Ovis aries: one gene and its partner. The protein of the gene in region 1 purifies or fractionates together with the protein of each later gene. This does not show direct contact. Links are inferred from orthologs where the notes say so. Each region holds a gene or a part of one and is shown on either strand. Other genes may lie near its edges.

Region 1 (3,812 bases):
TGGAGGAAGCCTAGGGAGCAGCATCCTAGAACTTGGCTCTTCAGGTTTCTAGCTCTAGGGTCTTTTCTCTGAGGCTCATTTCCGCCTTCCCAGCCTCCCCCAGGGGGCAGAGGCTGTTATGGTGCTGGTCTGGTGCCTCACTGCCTCCTCCGGGGCGCCCCAGAGGCTCCCTCTGAGGCCAGCAGTGGTAGGGAAGGGAGGGTGTGTGTGGCTTGTGGGTGGGTACGTGGTGGTGTGACACACTCATGCTGTAACCATATTGTCACTGCCCCTGAACACTTCCTATGCCAAGCGCTCCCACAAGTTGCCCTGTACCTCACCAGACACTTCTTAGAAGAGAGAAACTTCTAAGGTACTGGGGAGGCCAGAATCTGTCCAGGGGGGATGGAAGCAGAAGTGGATCAGGACCAGCTCTCTGTCTTGTCTGCCCTTTGTCAGTGAGGGAGCGGGGTGCTAGCTGGGCCTCAAGGGGAGCCCTGGTAGCCTTTTGATGCTGAGCCCTGAACCTGGGGCTGCAACAGGGCCATCAGGCTCTCTTGGTCCCTCTCGGGCTCAGGCTGATATGGATTTTGGAGCGGCAGGTATTCAGGGCCTTGGCCAAGTGGCCTTTTGTGACCTCAGCCTGTGATCCTCTGTGATCCCACAGAGAATAGGGTGCCCCCATCTGTGTTCTCTGGGTGTCTGGTTGATTTGCTGCTCAGTGAGTGCAGCAAGGGTATCAGAGAGGAGACCTCTGGACTATGTCGTCTTCTTTCTAGCACTTTGTGGTTTAGAGAGGACTCTCACACTGCGTCTCATCTGATCCCTGCAGAAGCTTTGTGGGAGGCGGGGCAGGTCCTATTAACCCCACTTTCCAAATGAGGATCTGAGGCTCGGAGGGTCAGTAATCTGTCTGGGTCCACCCAGAAGAGCCACATCTTCATCTGACTCTGAGCCACCCGACACCTCTCCGGAGAGAGACCATGGAGCCATCAGCTTTCCCGGGGAGGTGGGGCAGGGGCTTGAGGAGGGAAGTGGAGCCAGGATCCAGTGTGGGCTCGAAGACCAGGCCTTTGTAAGAGGGTTGAAGACTAACAGGAATGTAATGTTACCAGCTGGATGGGCTCAGGTCAGTGCGCCCCACGTGGAGGCTGCTGCAAGGACAGATGGTGCTAGGGAGGGACACAGTGATGCTATGCCCTGCTCTGCAGGCAGCGTCCTGGGGACTCAGCCCGGGGAGTGGCTCCCTCACTTGCAGGCTGGCTGGAGGTCCAGACAGCATCCCTCAGTGGGGGCGGCTTCTCTCTCAGCCCCTCCAAAAATGGCTTTGGCCTTTTCCCCACATGTCTCTTGAGGGGAGGACTTGGGCCTTACTGCCCCCAGAATCTTCTAAGCCCCCAGTACATCACTTGGCACCTAGATGGTGTGCTGTCCCAGGTGATCCCTGAAGGAGGGGGTCTTTCCTTTTGAATTCCTTCCTGCCTTGGCCCACGGCCATCTACTCACATCACCTCTGGAAGGGCTCTATGTAAACGGAGTGTCATCCCTGTTGGTGGGGCAGAGTTCTTGCCCTCTGGCCTGAGTTGCAGGCCCCTAACCAGCTTCCTGGTGAGGAGCTAGGTCATAAGCTCTGCAGGCGGATTTTTGTTCATTTGGTTTGCTGACAAATCTCTAACCCCTCACACCATGCCTGGTATGTTGAAGGGCTGGTTGGTTGAATGAGTAGATGTGGTGGACAGCAGGGTTCTAACCTGCTCCAGGGCTCCTCCTCCTTTTTGCCCATCCTGCTCAATCCAGCACTGTGCCAGGCACACTGGTGAGTCCTCTGGGTTGAACTGCCAGCAGCTAGCACTCGAGGGCTGGCAGAGGGACTTGGAGTGGGGTGGCCCTCCCTCCCGCCCTCTGGCAAGAGAACATGCCTCCCCCCGCAGCCCCGGGTGGTTCTTACTCTGGGCCCAGCTACGTAATCAAGTGGGGATAATAAGGCTTGCAGAGCAGGCAGAGTGTTGGGGAGGAGTAATTAGGCCGAGTTGGGAGGAAGCTGCGTAAGTGGGTGGGGCCAGGCCTGGCACGGGGGACTCTGGGGAACGGGCATGGGGACTCTGGGGAACGGCCCCTACTCATTCCCTCGGGTCTTGGCACTGAGTCAGGGCTGACATGACACATGCTGCCGCCATGCCTGGGCTGGTGAGTCTCCGACCCGTGGCTGCCCTGCTCTCCCTTCAAACATGCGACATCCCCTGCTGGGGGCTGGGGTTTAGTTCGGAGTCCTGCTCTCCCTTCAAACATGCGACATCCCCTGCTGGGGGCTGGGGTTTAGTTCGGAGTGCTCCTCCTTACCCCCAGGCACCCAACCTGGGCTGAGGTACATGTTCTGGGGCCCCTGAACCACGTTCCTCTTGCCTTCCTCCTTCCCTGCCCGGTCCCAGAAGGGCTTCTTCCCCTACTTACAATGCGGTTAAAAGCGGAAAATCTTGGTGAGCCACGCACCTGAGCCTAACCGTGATCCTTGGCCCTGACCTCTAGCTGTCCCCTGAAGAGGAGGAGAAGCGTCGAATTCGGAGGGAGAGGAACAAGCTGGCTGCAGCCAAGTGCCGGAACCGCCGCCGGGAGCTGACGGAGAAGCTGCAGGCGGTGAGGAGCCCTGCGTGGGGTGGGCGCACTCCTGGGTGGGCTGGAGCTGGGACCCCAGGGCTCCCGGCCCTCTCCCCTCCCTCCCTCACCCCTAGTGACTGACAGGAGAGTTAGTGTGGGCAAAAGCATTCCTTCTTCTGAGCACATGGGTCGGTCCTGCCCTGATTTGAAGGCGGGAGGTTGGGGGGGCAGGTTGGGGAGAAGGGAGCTGGCCTTTATCGTCCAGCCTGGACCCAGAGAGAACTGGATGAGCTTCTTGGGCCTGGCACCCTGTCCACCTCAGCACCCAAAGGATCCTGTGCTGAGACCTGCTGGGGCTCCTGGGCGAGAGATGGCAGAGGGTGTCGCCATTGCCAGCCAGCAGCCAGGCAGGCCCAGGCCTGCCCCCTCCAGGGTTCCTCTTCCCAGGTTCCAGCCACCCCCATGCCTGCCTGCCTGCCGCCGGCAGGAGTGGGCCCAGCCTGGCTTCAGCTGTCTGGTTCTCTGGGCTTCTCCACCTCTGCAGGGTTTTGGCGCTCCCTGGGGCTCATGGGTATGGATCATAGGCAGCTGAGTTGTGCTATCTTGGGGTTTTCTCATATCCTCCGTGGGCGGGAGGGTTCCCCGCCTCTGCTCTGAGCCTGAAGCTGTCACCTCATTGGTACCTCATTCTGCCCTATGAGTCATTCTCCCCCGCTGGCTAATTGCCCCCACCTGGGGGCTCTCAGCCCCGCCCTTCCCGCCCCAAACCTTGACCTGACCGACATCACGTAACTCCCTCCAGAGTCCAGCCCTCCAGGAGGGGCCATGTGGAGGAAACCCAGAGCCAGGACTGACTCTTCCTGGGTGGAATGTTTTCCAAGTGAGGAGATGAGGTGGACTGTGTCAGTGGTCATTGCACTGAGCAGCCAGGTTGGAGCTCTGGAAATCGAAATGGCCTTGCAAATCCTATTATTTTATTTAATCCTCCCAGCTACCATTCTCCTGCTTCCACTTCCCTGTGTCCATCCCGGAGCCCTTGTTCATGGGCCTTAAATGTGCACTGGGTGAATTCTGGGATGCCCGTAGTAGTGGCCTGTGGAGGTGTTAGAGGCGGGAGGAGGAGTGGGAGCTCTCCGATGCCAGGTGGGGCAGATCCGTTAGTGATCCGCACTCCCTGGGAGACACCCTGGAGAGCCCTCCCCACCACTAACCTTTCAGGGAGCCATATCCCCCTGGGT
Region 2 (3,812 bases), about 98 Mb from region 1:
TGGATGAGTGGGCAGGAGAGCTGGCCAAGAGGTGAATAACTGCATAACCAGCCCCTGGCCAGGTTCCAGGGTAGAGCTTTCATCTGGACTCTATCGCTTCAACAACCCCCACCCTCCAACTGTGCCCAGGATGATAGTGAGGGAACAGAGTAGGTATTTTAGGGGTCATGTGCGCTCTTTCTCTCTATGTCATTTTCTTTTAATCCCTTTGTTAAGGGAAAATCAGTGTGGGAATTTTGTCTGTAAGGCCAGTAATAAAATCTAAGCCCACTTTTCTCACTGTTAATAAAATCTCACCCTTGACAAGCTATTTTTTCTTATCTTTTACCACAGAGACTAAAAGCTACCCTAACCCACCAGGTCTCCTCAATCAATGGTGGTTGTGGAATGGTGGTGGGGACTGCCAGCACCATGGTGACAGCCCGTCCAGAGCAAAGCCAGATCCTCATCCAGCACCCTGACGCCCCATCCCCTGCCCAGCCACAGGTCAGCAGACCCTTGGATGGCGGCACCAGCTTGTCGCTATTACTCTTTGTCATGTCTGTTTTTTCAAGGAGCAGGGAAATGAAGGAGGAATGGATTTCAGCCTTCTGGGCTTCAACTTGTACTTTGTTTCTTGTTGACAGTGTGACAGTAGCAAAATGCACTCTGTTTTATCCATCCTTTTGTTAGACAAAGTGCAAGCAGACTGGGTAATGCAGAACTGCCACAGAGGAGGTCTCAGTTTCTGTTTTCTACTTTTTTATTATTTCTACATGTGAGTGCTCTATCTGCAGTGCCCTCTAAAATGTGACAGAACCTCATTTCAAGCTACTTTATACAACAAAGTCTCTAGTCTCTCCTGTCTTAACCCCCACCAACCCCCAAAAAACTTAATTGATTATACAAAAATCAGATACTAACAATATATTAATAAAATATGATGTCACAGCATTAAGATGGCTCAGTAAACAAACACATACCCTGAAAAACACTTTTTCCTTATCAATTTAATCTCTTTTTATCAGGAGAAATTAAAGTCTTAAAAAAGCCAGAGAGATCTACTTTAGAAGCCCAATTCTTTTGTTTCAAGGAGACCTCAGTTTTACTAAGTTTCGTTGGAAACCAAGTAAGCCTTTTTTTTTTGTCTGTACTGGTTAGGTGACAACAACCTGATATCAGTTTGTAGAGTTACATCTTTGGCCCATCCCCTTTTCCTGATGTCATCACCTGCTTCATCAGTTACCACCACATGTCCTAACATTTAATGACCATATGCTGCCTTAAAGCTTGGCCAACAACGAAAGCTTTCATTTGAGTTTTCTTGTTAGAAGCTAAGCCTGCCCACCTTCCTGTAACCCCTTCTGATGCCAGTCCCTTCTAAAAATGGTAAAGCAGCAGCCCCCTTGCCCAAACTGTGCTGCTTCCCCTTGAGGAAATGACATGACTTCATTTTTAGTTACCACTAATTCCTTTTCTCCTTATTCTTCCCAAGTTTCTCTTGGTCTGTTCTCTTACCTCCGTTCCCTGCATGTATTATTAAGTTGCCTATAAGAGAATAGGAATCCATCGTTTGCTTTTCCCCATTCTCCTCCTCAATCACCAGTCTTTACGTGTGCACCAGTGAGCTCGGGACAAAGAGCAAGTTGAAAATCACAAGAGAATCTGTGTAAACTTCCCTTAGTACAGTGAGAAGCAGCAACCCCAAGGCCTGTAGCTCATTAAAATGAGTTTGAAATTTCTTCTCCGCTTTTTTTCTTTTGGGGGAGAGACTAATAATCTGAATAATTAAAATTATCTCTTCATTATCTATATTACTGGAGACTATGATTCAGTAGGGCCTGAAGTAGAATAAGATTCTGTTTTCTTATGAGTTTATGTTTATCCTCATGCAACTGATTTGAGCTCTGGCATTTGGAAACTACCAGTATAGATGTTCTCTAATAGCAACAGATTCAGGAAGAATTCATTTTTGGCATTGTTTTACATTACATAGTTTCTTTTATACAGATGGCTGACCTTTCTATATTTTAATTTTGGCCATTATTATAAGGTTGGTCTCTTTTCTTTGAATACATACCAGCTAACAGAAAAGGAAGATGATTCAAAAGTGCTTTAGAAACAAGAGACATCAGCCTTAAGTTTAAAAACAAAAGATAAGGGCTTTCCTATTGGTCCGATAGTTAAGAATACACCTTGAAATGCAAGGGACACCAGTTTGATCCCTGGTCTGGGAAGATCCCACATGCCATGGGTCAGCGGAGCTCGTGCACCACAACCACCGAAGCCCGAGTACCCTAGAACCCGTGCTCCACGAGCGAAGCCACCATAATGAGAAGCCCTCACAAAGCAACTGGAGAATAGACCCCACTTACCACAACTAGAGAAAGCCCAAGCACAGCAACAACGACCCAGCACAGCCAAAAATAAATAAATATTTTTTTTAAAAAAAGATGGTCTCGAGGACTTCCCTGGTGGTCCAGTGGTTAAGACTTCACCTTCCTATGGAAGGGGTGCAGGTTTGATCCCTGGTCTGGAAGCTAAGTTCCACATGCCTCGAGACCAAAGAAACATTTTTTAAAAAAGCTAAATTGTAATAAGTTCAATAAGAACCTTAAAAAATTAAAAAAAGATGGTCTTAAATCACCAATTTGTAAAGGGATTTGAAAATATTTTTCTCTTTAAAAACAAACAGAACAAACAAAGCAGGAAGCAGGGCCATTGTTGAGGATGACTAATAACTGATTACAAATAAAAAGAATATACTAGGGGTTCCCTGGTGGCCTAATGGTTAGGAGTCCAGGCTTTCACTGCCATGGCCCAGGTTTAGGAAATGGCAACACATTCCAGTGTTCTTGCCTGGAGAATCCCAGAGACAGAGGAGCCTGGTGGGCTGCCATCTATGGGGTCGAGCGGAGTTGGACACAACTGACGCGACTTAGCAGCAGCAGCAGCAGCAGCACGGAACTGAGATCCCTCAAGCCTCGTGGTACAGCAAAAAAAAAAAAATGCTAATTCATATATTTCCATGATAGCTCGTATCTCATTAATGGTAAATTCTCTTCTCCTTTTCTGAAACTTACAGCATGCAGTTGTTTGTCTATTTTGCTTGGCCAAATCAGTAATTCTCCAATTTTTCATTCCACAGTCTCCCTGAAAGTTCCCCTGACACTTCTGATTATAATTTCCCTGCCCACCATATTTACTGTTAAGAAACAAAAAATGATCCTAGTTTCATTTTTGTCTGTCTGTCTCAGAAATAATCAGAGTTTCCAACTGAACTGTAGTTTGTCTAAGTATGGAACTGAGAAGACTGAAAGGAAACAGGAGGCAGAATGAGGAACTACTGCAGAAGAGAAGCTAAGGGACATAGCGAGGAGACTTGCTGTGGTGACAGAGGCTGGTAGATCCTTTAACCAGATCTTTGCCAGATCTTACATCAGGTTTAATTTGGAAAGGATTGACATTCCCTTCAAGTAACTCCTCTTCCTTCTGGGCAACAGGTCTCGCCAGCCCAACCCACTCCTAGCACTGGAGGCCGACGTCGGCGCACAGTTGATGAAGACCCAGATGAGCGGCGACAGCGCTTTCTGGAGCGCAACCGGGCTGCAGCCTCCCGCTGCCGTCAAAAGCGGAAGCTGTGGGTGTCCTCCCTAGAGAAGAAGGCTGAGGAACTCACTTCTCAGAACATTCAGCTGAGTGTGAGTGGGTCCTGGGTGCTTATTAGGATTGTTGAATCTGGAAAGTGATGTTGAATCATGAGAAAGTGGGACAATATAGTAGAAGATGATAATTCTTTAAATTAAGATGGATTCAGAACATATGCCAGGAAG

What was found.
Region 2: the proteins of FOSL2 (region 1) and cyclic AMP-dependent transcription factor ATF-7 purify together in Homo sapiens (affinity purification with mass spectrometry; 3 studies listed by BioGRID and IntAct, counting the BioPlex papers as one, with this or other methods). This does not show direct contact. The link is inferred for Ovis aries from reciprocal best matches to the Homo sapiens genes FOSL2 and ATF7.

Annotation. Positions count from the first base shown.
Region 1 is NC_056056.1:35,358,249-35,362,060, forward strand, and holds part of FOSL2 (fos-related antigen 2), read left to right. Parts: intron 1-2,505; coding exon 2,506-2,613; intron 2,614-3,812.
Region 2 is NC_056056.1:132,984,697-132,988,508, forward strand, and holds part of cyclic AMP-dependent transcription factor ATF-7, read left to right. Parts: intron 1-333; coding exon 334-486; intron 487-3,482; coding exon 3,483-3,680; intron 3,681-3,812. UniProt on the Homo sapiens protein: Stress-responsive chromatin regulator that plays a role in various biological processes including innate immunological memory, adipocyte differentiation or telomerase regulation.